Linked DNA regions of Cricetulus griseus. The protein of the gene in region 2 purifies or fractionates together with the protein of the main gene of each other region. This does not show direct contact. Links are inferred from orthologs where the notes say so. Each region holds a gene or a part of one and is shown on either strand. Other genes may lie near its edges.

What was found. The genes of interacting proteins can lie anywhere in the genome.
Region 1: the proteins of histone H2A.Z (region 2) and Actr6 purify together in Homo sapiens (affinity purification with mass spectrometry; 4 studies listed by BioGRID and IntAct, with this or other methods). This does not show direct contact. The link is inferred for Cricetulus griseus from reciprocal best matches to the Homo sapiens genes H2AZ1 and ACTR6.
Region 3: the proteins of histone H2A.Z (region 2) and Vps72 purify together in Homo sapiens (affinity purification with mass spectrometry; 4 studies listed by BioGRID and IntAct, with this or other methods). This does not show direct contact. The link is inferred for Cricetulus griseus from reciprocal best matches to the Homo sapiens genes H2AZ1 and VPS72.
Region 4: the proteins of histone H2A.Z (region 2) and Mier1 purify together in Homo sapiens (affinity purification with mass spectrometry; 3 studies listed by BioGRID and IntAct, with this or other methods). This does not show direct contact. The link is inferred for Cricetulus griseus from reciprocal best matches to the Homo sapiens genes H2AZ1 and MIER1.

Annotation. Positions count from the first base shown.
Region 1 is NW_023276806.1:155,885,227-155,889,194, forward strand, and holds the start of Actr6 (actin-related protein 6), read right to left. Parts: upstream 2,801-3,968; 5' UTR 2,735-2,800; coding exon 2,667-2,734; intron 1-2,666. UniProt on the Homo sapiens protein: Required for formation and/or maintenance of proper nucleolar structure and function. Plays a dual role in the regulation of ribosomal DNA (rDNA) transcription.
Region 2 is NW_023276806.1:21,775,365-21,779,394, reverse strand, and holds histone H2A.Z, read left to right. Parts: upstream 1-1,228; 5' UTR 1,229-1,382; coding exon 1,383-1,385; intron 1,386-1,860; coding exon 1,861-1,938; intron 1,939-2,248; coding exon 2,249-2,362; intron 2,363-2,725; coding exon 2,726-2,855; intron 2,856-3,115; coding exon 3,116-3,177; 3' UTR 3,178-3,555; downstream 3,556-4,030. UniProt on the Homo sapiens protein: Variant histone H2A which replaces conventional H2A in a subset of nucleosomes. Nucleosomes wrap and compact DNA into chromatin, limiting DNA accessibility to the cellular machineries which require DNA as a template.
Region 3 is NW_023276806.1:61,386,911-61,391,019, forward strand, and holds the start of Vps72 (vacuolar protein sorting-associated protein 72 homolog), read right to left. Parts: upstream 2,801-4,109; 5' UTR 2,729-2,800; coding exon 2,612-2,728; intron 1-2,611. UniProt on the Homo sapiens protein: Deposition-and-exchange histone chaperone specific for H2AZ1, specifically chaperones H2AZ1 and deposits it into nucleosomes.
Region 4 is NC_048595.1:46,601,583-46,604,929, forward strand, and holds part of Mier1 (mesoderm induction early response protein 1), read right to left. Parts: intron 2,772-3,347; coding exon 2,632-2,771; intron 519-2,631; coding exon 190-518; 3' UTR 1-189. UniProt on the Homo sapiens protein: Transcriptional repressor regulating the expression of a number of genes including SP1 target genes. Probably functions through recruitment of HDAC1 a histone deacetylase involved in chromatin silencing.

The DNA.
Region 1 (3,968 bases), about 130 Mb from region 2:
GATGGTGGTGGTGCACGCCTTTAATCCCAGCACTCGGGAGGCAGAGGCAGGTGGATCTCTGTGAGTTTGAGACCAGCCTGATCTACAGAGCGAGTTCCAGTACAGCCAGGGCAACACAGAGAAACCCTGTCCTGGAAAACCACAAAAAAAAATTAAGAACTACTTAAAATTGTTTGCTTTTGTTTTCTTTTGTATGGCAGAGTCTCACAGTCTCCCAACTAGAACTCTATGCTGCCTGGAACTTGATACGTAGACCAAACCAGCCTCAAGCTGCCACCCCAGTGCTAGGATTAAAGGCATTCTCCATGCTGCCAGATACACACAACCTCCATGAGCCCATACTCTAGATAGGAAGACAAATCCCAGCCCAGTATCATATAGCTATGCACACACTCATACACACCCTTATTATTATCAACGTTTTTCTCCCTGTTTAAATGTTCTTGGAAGGCATACTTTTAAGATCAGCATGGGTTGGGTTCAGGGTTATATTGCCTGTCATCCCAGAGGCACCAGAGGCAAGACCATCACTGGAACCAGGAGCTGTAAACTGTCCTGTACAACACAGTGAGATACTGTCTCTTAGAAGAAACCCCTGTGACTCAGTTGTTAAGCACATGTTTGAAGACCTAGGTTTGACCCTAACCCACAACTAAAAGAAGCTGCTCTGCTGCCAACTTCATGGTTGCATTCTAATATTCTTAGCCAATTTGCTATACTTGACTATTTAGCTTGCTTCCTTGTGTACACTTTATTTTGCTAACTGTACAAGTGTCTATAAATAAAGCTTAACATTGCTGTACTTACTCTTCTTTAGTATCTCTAAATAATTCCTGAAATGCTAAGAAAATTATTGTCAAAGTATATGCACAATGATATACACTGATGAACATTTTCAGGAAGAAAGTCACAATTTATAGCCATATCTCAATTTCTTTATTATACAGTAAGATAAAAACAAAAACTATCACATTGAATTGGACAAGAAGACAAACCAACAGAAGGAAAAGAGCCTACGAGAAGACACAAGAATCAGAGACTAATTTATTCATACACTCACAAGTCCCATAAAAACCCTAAACTGGAAGCCATAATATGAATACAGAGGACCTGGCACAGACCTGTGCAGTCACTGGGCATGCTGCCTTGGTCTCTATGAGTTCATGAGTTTTGCTCATGCTGATTTAGTGGGCCTTGTTTTCTTGGTTCTCTTCATCCCCTCTGGCTCTTAAACTTTTTCCACCTCCTCTTCCACAGGGTTCTAAGGGGAGGGATATGATGGCAACATCCCATTGAGGGCTGAGTGTTGCAAGGTCTCTCTCACTCTCTGTGTAATGTCTGGCTGTGGGTCTTGATTTCTACCTTAACAAGGTATTAGGTAGCCAGGAGTCATGCCTATAACTCCAGCACCCAGGAGGGTGAGACAGGAGGATTGTCATGAGTTTGAAGCTAGCCTAGGCTACCGTGTGAGACCTTGTCTCACTAAAGAAATACACCGGGGAGGAAGCTGTAGTTCAGCAGGACAGCACTTGCCTCAAATTTGCTAGGCTCTTGGTTCATTCTCTAGCATATTAAAAACACAACAAAACAAAAAGAATCCCTTTCTATGCGTGTACTATTTACATGCATCTGTTTGTTTATGTGTATGGCTATTTTTCCTGGATGTGGATCCCCTACTACTGGAGTTACAGATAATTGTTAGAGTCCATGTAGGTGCTGGGAACTGAACGTAGGTCCTGTAGAAGAGCAGAAAGGGCTCTTAACCACTGAGCCATCATTTCTCCAGCCCCATGTATCTGGTTCTCACTGTAAACAAAACAAACCCCCCAAAACAATCCAACAAAAACCCAACATATATAGAAGCCTTATTTTAATAAATGTCTTCATCAGTGTTTGCTCACCATACGAGGGTTCAACACCTAGCTTTAGAAAAAAAGAAAGAAAAAAAGAATTCAGTCAAATGCCCACTAAGGCCTGAAGTGGTGGCCCTCAGCTGTAATCCTAGCACCCAGGAGGTGGAGGCAGGAGGATCTGAAGTTTAAGGTCATCCTGAATTACACCTAGTGCTACAGCGCAGCTGAGGTTGTGGCTCTGTGGTACAGTATGCGAGGCACGGGTTTGAGTTCTAGCATCGAGAAACGTCTATTATTTATGCAAACATACATTTTATGCAACACATGCTGAGATGCCACTGTAGTGTTCCTGATTTTACCAACCAAGTCATTCAAATTGATTGCCCCAAAGCCTTCAAACTCCCTGGATTCTAATGCTGTTGGTTTTACAATTTTGGCGGTTGGGTGGCACTGAACCTTTTGGGGATCCGATGGAAACCCTACAATTACGCTTATCCAAAGGCGAGTATGCCCAAAACGCTATCCACTATTTCTGAAATGTCATGAACTCTGAGATCTTTGGCTCCCTCAATCTCGAGAAACCTATTTCCTGTTACCAAACAAAACATACATTCCACTTCCGGAGTCCCAAACGAAAGTCAAAATCACTTTCAGTTCAGAATATCAAACCCACCAACCCAGCTCCAAATGGGGCACCCCTCGGCTCGGGCTGGGGCAGCGCGAGGGCGTCTGCGGATCACTCAAGTCGGAAAGCGCAGCCTGTGAAGACACGAGGCTTTCAGGTCCTGTCCCTCGGGGACGACGGGCACTTACGAGACATTGTCATGGCTGTAACCGATTTTGGCGTTGTAGGCTCCGTTATCCAGAACTAAGGTCGTCATTTCAGCAGCCACCAACGCCACGGTCGTGCGGGTACTACCCACTTGGGTCTCCTCTGCTCAGGCTTCTTCCGGTACTCTATGGTTTGTAGAGGCGGAGCCGAGCGTAACTTCCGGTTACTCTGGCAACGGAGTACGCCGGAAGTCAGGCAGCGAAGCGGCGTTTCTTGTCCCCCGGAGCATCCAGTTCTCTAACTTACTCTTTTTAGGGAGCGAGGACTTTCAGTACTAGAAACTACTAAATACCTTTTCTCCCTTTAGTTATCTTTCCTTATTGCGCACATTGGCGAATGAAAGCTTTTTGTAACCTCTGTGGTTGACTGCGTGTGCGTGCCTGTGCGTGTTTTGTTGAGACACTTCTATTCTTGAAGAGTACAAAACCATACGCAGCGTGGGGTCTCTCCAGTCTCACCTTTATTTCTTGGCGTTTGTCATCAGGTTGTAGGATTTGATCACAATAAATAATGTATTTGCTGTTTAGTTATCGGCCTTTTTTTTCTTTTTCTACTCACATTCGCGTTCCCCAACTAATCCCTTTATGTGTCCTATCTGCAAAAGACATCTGACATGCTCCCTCTCAGTTCTGATTCCTGGAATTAGATGTCCTTCCTGCGTGTTTCTGTAAAACGGAGGGCTGGTGTTTCATAATTTTAAGAGAATTTTGGAGCCGGGCATGGTGGCACACGCCTTTAATCCCAACACTGGAGGCAGAGGCTAGTGGATCTCTGAGAGCTCAAAACCAGCCTCGACTACATAGAGATTTCCAGGGCAGCCAGAGATGCATAACAGAGAGAGAGACCCTGTCTCAAAAAAAGGGGGGGGGGAGGAAGGAAGGAAGGAAGAAAAAAAAAGAAAAGAAAAGAAAGTTGGATTGGAATTCAGACTCTGGTACAAAATGGCTAAATAATTTTGGGTAATGACTGATAAAAGGAAAGCACAACCTACTGTTCCAGTTTATTTACACATATTAACTAGTCTTCAGGAGATAAATAGCTAAGAGTATAGCCAATAAATTCAAACTGTGACTATGACATTAAATGTTTAAGCAACTTAATCAAGTCTTGGGTTATCTCAAGTATAAAATAAAGCAATATGAGTCCCTCTATATTACATAATTGTTTGATGTTAGTGTTAGTCAAGTACCTGTCAAGAGATGCTGTTACCATCTTTTCCATTTAATACTTATTTTGAGGTAGGGTTTAATGTAGCCCTGGCTGGCTTCAATTTTACTATATAG
Region 2 (4,030 bases):
CTGCAACCCATGTACAGGTGGAGAGAGGGAGAGCCCACTCCACAGGTTGTCATCTGATTTCCACAAAGTCTTCATGGCATGTGCACCTGCAACCACCCACACAATAATTTTTCTTATTTAAAGAGTTAAACATTAAGTACTGTAAATATGAAAGATTTAGATCATTATGGTCTCCAAGCAGCTAAGTGATGTACACAGGGATTGTCGACCTGCTAACTGCACGTCTAAGTGACTGGCATCAGGACAGGACCGTGTGTACGTACAGTCCTACTTTTTCTTTTTTAAGCCCGGCATTTGTAATTGATTACATGAACCATCTGTGGCTGCTTGTGAATCATGTTACAGTTACCCCACTGACATTTACCCAACATTTTTCATGTGGCAAAATGTTTAGTGTCGGAAAGCTGACACATAATAGCTTTGATGATTCAATAAATCAACTTTAGACACCAGGCTATAGGCGCATCCCCATTGATGTGGAGTCTCTCTCGGCAAAATTATGGCTGATGATTTCATTATAATAACGCTTCATCCTGAGCTTCCTGTGTGTAGACAAAATTATTTGTTATCACCAAGGTAACTTGACCCCCACGGTTGTTACGAGACAGGATGGGAGGGTGAGGGGGGCGGTCAAAAGAGGTGAGGACCGGAGCGGAGGAAGATGAAAAACAACCTCCGGCGGGGGTAAGAGACGGTCTCTCAGGGAAGTGCTTCAGCAAGTGCGGGCCGAGCCGAGCTCCTCTCACTGGAGGCCTTCGCGCCACCTGTCACAAAGGAGGGGCCCGCGGGGAACCGAGGTCTGCGGGGAGGGGGGGGGGACGGCCAGGCCGACCGGAGGACGCTGCGAGGCCCAGGCTGGACCGGGAGGCGAGCTCACGTGGTCTCCCGCACACCGCGGGAGGACGCCCGCGCGCCCGTCCCCAGCCTCTCAGCCCCGCCCTCCAGGCACGTGACCCCGCGTCCGCTCTCGCGCTCGCCCGCGCTCCCTCCTCGGTGGCGCAGGGCTCTGTGTCTGCCCTCCCGCCGCGGCGCCCTTCCCCTCCCGGTCCCGTCCCGCCGCCTCCCCCACTCTTCCCCCTCCCCACCCCTCGCGCGCCAATCACGGCTCGAGCTCGCGAGCGCCCGCCCCACCACCCTGCTTCGCGCCCTCCCATTGGCCGGAGCCTCAAGGACGCGTCCCGAAGGCGGGCGGCGACCATTGGTGGGCCGAGCCAGCCGAGTTCCCGGATGAGGGAACATTCTGCGGTATAAAGGGCGCGAGGAAGGCGGGAGACGGCGCAGTTTGAATCGCGGTACGACGGAGGAGTGGGCGCCGGGATCTCGCTGTGCGTCCGCCTGGCCTCGTCTCTTGCTCGCTTGTGCGATCTTCAGCACGGTCCGAGATGGTAACGTGAGAGTGACGGCGGGCCGCCGGGCGGGGGGCGGCGGCGGCCGCGAGCTGCGGGCTTGGAGCGGGCGGGGCCGCCGTCGCCGGGGCTTGGGCGAGGCGGCGGCGGCGGGCGGGAGCGTGCGGAGACGGGTCGGGGACGAGCGGAGGGAGGTGTTTGGTTGAGCTCGGAGCTCCGGGAGGGAGGCGACGGTTGGAGGGGGGCGCGCGCGGCGCAGCTGGGAGCCGGCGCGGGGCGCGCGCGGGGCGCGCGGCGGGGGTCGGCGGGCGGGCGGGGAGAGAGGGCGGGGGCGAGCGGCGGCCCGGAGACCCCGGCGGGCCGCGAGCGCGCGCCCGCCGCCCGCCCGCCCGCCTGCTCGCTCGCCCGCCTCCGGGACGCGCGGCCGTGGGGGAGGGGCGCGCCGCTCCGCGCCGCCTTGGTAATTCTATCCTCTCCGTCCCTCCCGGGCTCGCGGGCGTCGGCGGCGCCGCAGGCTGGCGGTAAGGCTGGAAAGGACTCCGGAAAGGCCAAGACAAAGGCGGTTTCCCGCTCGCAGAGAGCCGGCTTGCAGGTAGGCAGCTGCTGCCGCAGACGCAGCCCGGGTGACCCGGCCTTTATCTTTGCACCCCCTGGCTTGTTTGTCGGCGCCTCGCATGGGTGTTCCATCTTTTGCGTGGGTGATGTGTCGCGACTTGGCCTTCGGAGACTGAATGTTGGGGCGGCGGGGGCTGGTGGGGGGGGCGTCGATCGCGTGTGCTAACTGCCCGGGCGCCTTGGTGCACCACCGTCCTTGGCTTTGGCGCGCGCGCGCATCATCTTTCCATCTCTGAATCTCCTCTATCTTTGTGCATTTTTGTTTGTGTGCATAAAAAAAAATCAAGTTCCCTGTGGGCCGTATTCATCGACACCTGAAATCTAGGACAACCAGCCACGGCCGTGTGGGCGCGACCGCCGCTGTGTATAGCGCAGCCATCCTGGAGTACCTCACCGCAGAGGTAAGCGGGAGTGAGTATGCCTGTGATCTGGAAAAGGTTTGGGGGGCGGGGGGGGGAAAGTGGGCGAGAGGGAAGGAGGAAAGTGATGCAAGAAAACTCCCAGGCCCTAAGCGCGGCGCTTAGGCAGAGAGAGGGCGCTAGAGGGAGCTAGTGTTCAGCCAAGGATCCCGCTGAGCCAGAGTTTGCTGCTGTTGCAAAAGCAATTGCGTGCCCCTTCAGTCCTTTGCATCATTTGCATAGTTTTGTCATTCAGGTAGTGGGGGGATGACGACAGTTGGTGGGTTAAACACCACTGACGTTTAGCCAGCTTCCTGGATCTTGACTGAAGGGAATTGGAAAATTGATCAGAATTTTGCCTTTTAGGTACTAGAATTGGCAGGAAATGCATCAAAAGACTTAAAGGTAAAGCGTATTACCCCTCGTCACTTGCAACTTGCTATTCGCGGGGATGAAGAATTGGACTCTCTGATCAAGGCTACAATTGCTGGTGGTGGTATGTTATCACTGACACTCGGTTACTTTCCAATAAGAAAATTCCTACATTTTCATTGCTTCCAGAAGAGGGCATTTAAATATATTTTATAAATCATGGTGGTTTATGGAATTTGGTTTACACAACATCATTCATCATTTTACTTTATGTTTGAATTTTTTTTTAAGACCTTTCAAGTTGTAGATTTACCTGCTTTGATTTCATGTACTGTTTCAAAATGTTTCTACAAAAAGTAGAATTAATCCTTGTCACTTTCCTAGGTGTCATCCCACACATCCACAAATCTCTGATTGGAAAGAAAGGACAACAGAAGACTGTCTAAGGATGCCTGGATTCCTTATTATCTCAGGACTCTAAATATTCTTAACAGCTGTCCAGTGTCGGTGATTCCAGTGGACTGTATCTCTGTGAAAAACACAATTTTGCCTTTTTGTAATTCTATTTGAGCAAGTTGGAGGCTTAATTAGCCTTCCAGCCAACCAAATTTCTGCATTCGAGTCTTAACCATATTTAAGTGTTACTGTGGCTTCAAAGAAGCTATTGATTCTGAAGTAGTGGGTTTTGATTGAGTTGACTGTTTTTAAAAAACTGTTTGGATTTTAATTGTGATGCAGAAGTTATAGTAACAAACATTTGGTTTTGTACAGACATTATTTCCACTCTGGTGGATAAGCTCAATAAAGGTCATATCCCAAACTAGTTTTAAACTTGCTTGATGATTACTACTAGATCTCATTCAGCTCCCCTACCTTCTTTGCTTACTAATCAAACACTTCATCTGTAGACCAACAAGTCATAACCAATTTGTCATAATGAACTAGGCATGCTGTTGGACATTCACAGTAACTGTGAAAGGCACTGTATCACAATTTGGGACAGCTGGACCGGTAGAGACCCCCAGGTATAACATAATAACCTCCACAGAATGAACTTAAGATGTAGAAGTTAAATCATTCTCAGTGACCAGACACTGTTGTCAACTGTGAAATGCTAGTCACAGGGGATGCGTGCTATTTTCATAGACTAGGGTAACATGATGAAAACATTGATACATATCAGGCATGTTCCTTAAGAGCTTGAGAAAACGCATCTGCCCCTTTCACCCTACCGAGACAACATGCGTGCTCCTTTCTGAGGCAAAAATTGGTAACAGGAGGTGGTATGCATGCAACCTC
Region 3 (4,109 bases), about 40 Mb from region 2:
CCAGAGTTCAATCCAGCACAAGTGACCACCGTTCTTCCTAACTAATGTTTGTGAAAGAGACTCAGAACACATTAACTCAGCTCTACCCTGGTATTAAGCCACATTACCAGAGAGTGGTAGATCAAGTTCCCACTAGTGTGCCCAATCTTAATGTTTTTACTACACTCCGGATTTACTGTCGTAGCACTGGACAAGATCTTTTCCACTCCTTAATACACAACAAGAGGACATTCTACATCTACCAAACCTGTTACTACTTTAGTTGTACTTCATGTAAGGAAATAATGAGACATTCTTCCTAGAAGTTAATGTTAAATAGGTTTGTCTTTCTTGAATATATCATATATTTCAGTCTTAGAAAAGAACGGATTCAGTCTGGCTACCAGGAAGCTCAGAATTATCAAATATTTCCATTTTAGCTAGATTCTTGGCACAAATATTTCTGATTTTTTAAAAATATTTTTATTTAGTCTTTGAAATTTCATACATTAATATATTTTGTTCTGCTCATTTTCTATTTTTATTGTTCCTAATTTTTGTTTCTATTGTAACCTTTCTTAAATCCTTTTTGGAAGCATGAGGTGCACCTATTAAAATAACATCTCATAAAATGACAGGAATAGGAAAATGAACCTTGGAGGAAGAATGAGAGAGATCTATTTTAAACTAGTTTACTAAAGCTGTGTACACAGAGGCTCCTAGTTAGTCATAAAGTCTTGTCTACTTTTTTTTTTTCTTTCAAAAAACTCCCTTCAACTCTCAACACTATCCTATGAGTGACATCCCCAGCCCAGCCCTTGTCCATGTTTCTTTTCTGCCACTGCCCTCTTTAGGCTTATCTCATAGTTATATATATGGCAGAGTCAGGACAGAACTGGAAACACAGCCCATGTGGCTTAGAACTGGTGGTAATACTCCTGTCCCAGCCTCCCGGAAACCACCAGCTAGAGAGTAATCTTTTTAATCACAAATATAACGATGGAACTTTGATGCCTCATCTCAGACCTCTAAATGAGCAGTCAAACTGCTTAATGCTGCTTCATTATGTCCTTCAAAATCTGATTTCGGAGGTGGAGGGGGAATCCAAGGGTAGTGACAAGTACCTGCAATTCCAGGAATCAAGAGTGTGAGGCAGGGGGCTGCCTAGACTTTGAGGCTGGCTAAGTAACCCCATTTTAAAAAAACTACATAAGGCCAGGGGTAGTGGGGCACACCTTTAATCCCAGCACTCGAGAGGTAGAGGCAGGTGGATCTCTGAGTTCCAGGGCTACATGGGAGTGGTACTCCTGGGAGAGGGCACCTAAGAAGGACATGAGAGGCAGAGGCAGGTGGATCTCTGTGAAGCCAGACTGGTCTACATAGTGAGTTCCAAGACAGCTAGGGCTACTACAAAGAGAAACCCTGTCTCTAAAAAACAAAACAAAACCTTCCAAAACAAATCCAGCTCAGGTCTACAACCTCTAGCTATCACAATCTTTACTCTTCCAGAGAACAAAAGACTTGTAGGTGTCACAGTGGGGCTTCGGCGCCTCTACAAACAGACTATTTCATCTTCTTCTCCAACTGAGCCTTTCTCTTCCCTGACTCTTCATCCAACCAACGCCTACTTTTTATATAATATCCTCAGTTTAAATGTTATTTCCCCATGAGTGCCTACCTTTAAACCACTCTGGGGCCTTCAAGATAGCTCAGTGGGTAAAGTAGCTGGCTGTACAATCCTGACCATCCGAGTTTGATTCCTGGGGCTCCTATGATGGATGGAGACTGAATCCCTGCAAGCTGCCCTCTGATCTTCATATGCAAGCACACAAATATAATACAATTAAAAAAAAAAAACAAAACACAAACCTCTCCCGGTTACCACAGTATCTCATGCTTCCTTGACTTTAAGTCTTTATCATGAAGTATCTTAGTTGATTGTGAAACCAGTCAGTTCCTTGCAGGATGGGGCTTCCCTTTTCATTTTTTTGCCAGGGGCTGGTATCCCAGGATCTAGGGCTTACTAGGCAAGTGGTCTACCACTGCGCCACAAACAATAGTCCCAACCTCAGGGCAGTTTTTAATATGTTTCCAAGGAGCTCAGCACAACCCATCATATATGGTACACTGACCTGGGTGCTCCACATATATTTAATCAATGAACAGTTTTTATTAATAAAAAAATTTAGCCAAGAGGCAGCCCTGAACGAAAAAACAAACAAAAAACTGAACTCTAAGCTTACAGACCTTACAAAGCAACCAGAGAATGAAAAGAAGCCAAATTTAATTAGAAACTGAAATTCTGTTTGTATGATAGAAATATAAATGGGGATTCTCTTAGAACGGCCAATAGAGGGTCGGTCATCTAAGAAAACCGTATTATTTGAGAGCTGAAAACGGAGTGTGCTAATGAAGTTTCTGTTTCTGAAGCGGTTCCTCTTCGTAGATAGCCCGACAACAGGACAAGAAAAGGCAGACACACAGACGAAGCCAGGCACTCACAGTGTCACCCAGTCCGGAGCATTGGCTCTCAGAACACCTCTCTCTACTCCCCGCCCCCTTCCTCTTTGTCCAGGGTTTTCCCTTCAAGATTCCGCTTCCTCCCCTCCCTCTTCCTGGGCCCGGCTCTTGCCTCCGTGAAACCCCCGTAAGTCGTCTGGTAGAACTCATCTTCCTCCTCTGCTTCCAGGAGCCCAGAAAGGCGGTTCCCAGCGGTCTTCCGAGGGGCCCGGCCTCCAGCCAAACTCATACCGCCTACAGAGACTGTGCGGCCGCCCGCAACCCCTTGCCCAGTTCGCGTTCTCGGAAATCGGAGCTCGACACTATTTCCTGTGGGCGGCAGCCAATGGCGGAAGCCCGGCGACTACAGGCAAAAGCAACCGAGCATCGAACGCTTCTAAATCTAGCCTCTAAGCCTTCTTCACCAGGCTGTCCTGGCCACTCTTAGGCAGAGCCTAGAAACAGTACCAGGATGTCCCCTCCACACCACCCACCTTTTGTTTGTTTGTTTGTTTTCAGACAGGGTCTCGCTGCATAATTTCTCGCAGGCATGGAACTGTCTGTGTAGTACAGGCCGGTCTCGAACTCATAGAGATCCTCCTGCCTCTGCCTCCTGAGTACTAGATTTAAAACTGTGTGCTAGGCCGGGCGTTGGTGGCGCATGCCTTTAATCCCAGCACTGGGGAGGCAGAGGCAGGAGGATCTCTGTGAGTTCCAGGCCAGCCTGGTCTCCAGAGCGAGTGCCAGGACAGGCTCCAAAGCTACACAGAGAAAGGCTGTGTACTAGGCCCGCAGCAAGCCCTTTTTTCCTCACCACCTCTATTTTAATTCTGTTAGTAGGAGCCTTTCTAAAAATACTGGCCTTTTCATTTCCCTCCTCTAAAATTCCAATGACAGTCAGTCCTAACTCTCACACATTATAGGGCAAGAGAATCACAAATTCAAATCATGCCTAGTTAGTGTAGTAGAATTGTTTCAAAGTTTAAAAAATGAAAAGAAGCCTGGATATAACACAGCGGAGGTATGTTTGTTTAGTTTGCATGCTCCTGGATTCTATCCCTAGCATGCTCAAAAACATTATTTCAATTAAGAAAAAAAAAAAAAAACATGAAGCTGACTGGTGGTGGCGCATGCCTTTAATCCCTTCATTAGGGAGGCAGAGGTAGGTAGGTAGATCTCTGAGTTTGAGGCCAGTCAGGGCTCCAGAAGGAGTTCCAGGACAGTCAGGGTTACACAGAGAAGCCCTTATCTCAAAGAAAACAAGCAAACAGAGAACAGTGCCTTAAAAGCAGGGGTGGGGGCAGACATCCGTAACCCCTAGCACTAGGAGTCCAAGTCAGGACGATGACAATTTGTGGGCAGCCTGGGTTACCATGGGAAGTTCTGGGCCAGCCTCAGTCACATAGAAAGCTTTTGTCTAAAGAAAGAAAACAACATCAACAACCCACAAGCAACTAAGTACCTGGCCTGGTGTTTCATACCTTTTTAATCCTAACACTCAAGAGGCAGAGGCCAGGGCTCTCTGTGAGTTAGAGATCTATGCTTGTTCTACATAGCAAGTTCTAGGCCAGGTAGGGTTACAAAATGTGACCCTGCCTCAAAACAACAATAACAAAATCAAACAGCAGCAA
Region 4 (3,347 bases), on a different chromosome or scaffold from region 2:
CAATTTGAAGTAAAAGAACTTGCAAAAGGTGGAATTATGAATCCCATTTCTTAAAGTTAGAACTCAATTCAAATGTCAAGATTTAACCAACTGCTGCAAAGAAATCAGCTTTCTAAAGGTCACCCACCAACCCTGAAAATTGTAGTCACACCAGAATTTACTGCAAAGAAAGTAACAAAGGCCTAGGACTTAGTCGTTTATGTTTTCGTGTTCCTCAAATTTTCCATGCGAGACTGCTTCCTGGAAAAATTCAGACGAACCCGGACTTTCTTTCCCATTGCTGTTTATCCGTCGCCTTTTGGCAGGTCTCTCATTTTTTTCATCAAAATCATTTTCATTTCTTGCAGTCATATGGGCAAGTTTTGGGTCGGTGGTCACGTTATCTGCTTCATAACCATTAGTGTCCATATCTGTATGAAGTGGCTTCTTATTTCCACCTGTTGGTCCATTAACATGTAAGCCTTCAACTTTTACTTCTTCTTTGTTTAGTATTTCACCTGGTCCATTAGATGACACACCTACATTCAGAGAAAGATAGATAAAACTTAATACAAAAAGCTTAACTATTATAAAAATAGCTGCTACAACATGAGTTTTCATCAAAGGACAAGCAAAGTATCAAATGTGAACATACTCATGGTGAAGCGTGGCTGCACCACTTATCAGCTGATACTACCCAAGTCTTCATAGACTACACCTCAGTTTCCTTACATACCATGAGACACAAAGCAAGTATATGTTAGGTGATGTGAAGACCAACTAAAGCAATGGATTTTAAGAACAAAGATCAGAATCTGAAATATATTAAAAGCATACTGGGGGCTGGAACGATGGCTCAGTGGTTAAGAATGCTTGATGCTGTTATAGGAGAACCTGGGTTCAGTTCCCAGAATCGACATGGAGGCTCACAGCCACCTACAACCCTAGTCTCAGGGTATCTAACATCCTCTCCCAGCCTCCTCAGGTCTCACACACATGGTACACAGGCATACATGCACACAAAGCATACATACACATTAAATAAAATATTCAAAGAATCCTAAGTATTACTATGTAGGAACATACTGACATTGTTCCCATAGGAGGTAGGATCTGAAAGTGGTCTGATACTACCCTGCGAAGTAAAATTATTTTAGTTAGAACAAGCAGCAGAATGACCATGGAACACAATTTTGGTAATACAAAGCCCACTTAGCACACATGACTGGAGATAATTAAATCTTAACTATGTGAAAAATATTCGACATGAAAGGATGGGTCTCAAAGATTACATTTTGGTAAAAGAAAATACTCAATTTTTCCCAGTTCTTATATATATCATATAACACTAAAGAAATAATTCTGTTACCTAGTCTAAAAAGCTAGGTTAAGCTGATTTAAAAAAATAACTGTAATATAAAAGAAATAAAGCTAAAAAATTAAAACAATATGTATATAAAATTAAGCTCAAAAAAGAGTTCTAACTTTCTTTGGAAAACCTGAAAATCTTGATCATACTTACCTGATGTCTTCTGAGCTAAATAACATTTTTTATTCATTTGTGAAAATTATCTTGCCCTAATAGTGCTTTCTCATCAAAACGCTAAAAAAGGAAAGGGTTTCCTTGGTGTTAAGATGTTAAGAACAGACAAAAGGACTGACATTCTTCTCAACTTGCTGAGCACCACCTCAGTTCCATGTTCCAGTCACACTGCACCTTACATCTCTATAAAGGAAGGGGCAGCACACTGCAGAACACCAACCTAACAAGACCCATGCATGGCTGCTGAGACCCACATCCTATCTGGCTGGTTTATTCTTCAAGGGAGAAGAACAGAAAAGAATGGTGAAATGAACTAAGTAATACATATGCAACTCAGTGAAAGTTTGAGGTCAAAGCTTTGGCAATTTCTCTTCTATGTTCTCCATGACACTGGCCAGTTTTAAAGTTTTAAACTCCAGTTTCTTCCATACTGGGATGCTGCACAATCATGCTTGCTATTTTCTTACTTGGGACAATTAAAGTAGAAATCAAAACAATTCTTGGAACAGCTCTTACAGATGGCCCTTCAAACACTCTGAATGAAGAACACTGTCGTGTGTGTGTGTGTGTGTGTGTGTGTGTGTGTGTGTGTGTGTGTGTGTGTGTCTGTGTGTACACACACAAATGGTTCTGCAAAACACCTATGCTCAGGCTGAGAGCTGCTTTACATGTGCTCATTTTTCAAGGTTATTATGTAAAGTCAAATATTCAAATTTCACTTATTACCTAACTTTTTGCCTTTTATTATAGCTCATGTTAAAGGTTCTCAAACTATTTGAAAAATAAATATTTCTGATGCAATGTGTCTGGATTTGTCTAAAAGTTAAAGCAGTATTCACATTTAGGTATTATTCCATTCAGGTAAGGAGATGCTACTGAACACAAATTTATTGAAATCAACAGTCCCTGTGTAGCTTGCTTCATGAATTTCAGTTTATGATGCCACTATAAACTCTTTCCAATTACTCTATGGTGTGTGTTTGGATGTATGTGTGCTAATGTTTCATGTTATTTACATTTTTCAGCCTCCAGAGTTTAATGTAAATTTCCTTGAGCCACTCCAAGTGTCCTTCACTATGAAGAACTAGGTGTATTTCCTGGTTTCTTACCATTTTGATTACTATTGCTGATAGTGCCATCTTCTTTCTCCGATTGACTGTTACTACTATTTGAGGCAGTAGGAGGAGGGGATGGTGCTCGGCTAGAAGCAGCACTTTCACTCTCATCCAAAAGACGATCCATGTAATCCCTTAAGATTAAGTTAAATAACAATTAATTCCTTAAATAAGATGGTGAAGATTAAAATTAGCTGAAGTTAAATATACATTCCACTATTAACACATACGTCCTGACTCTTACTTACTTTCATGAAAATGCCTTACTATTTGTACCAAGTTCGAAACAGACTTTGGAAGCTTCTTCTGGCTATGTATTTGTAGGGAGATGCATGAAGATGCTAAGCTAAGGAAAATATGAAGTCCACGGGAAACTTTAAAATGTACAGAAGGGCTCAAAATGGCTCAACTGAAACCAAAGTGTATATAAAAAGGTGAGCATGATGTCATCTGGGGTACATGATTTCTGAACAGATACAGACTAGTTTTAGGATTCCTAAAGACAACACTCGAAGGTGCAACGTCCTAACACAAAGGGTGATCCCTGCCAGTCACCATACAGTCAGCTTTCTGCCAGATCTGTATCATAATGGGTTAAGTCCTGGCATAATTGTTGGTCACCTATTAGCTGTAAGCAGGTTTATTTATAACATCATTACTACTTCCTGAGCTATAGTTGAGGATAACTGACATCTGGCTGGGGTTAGAAG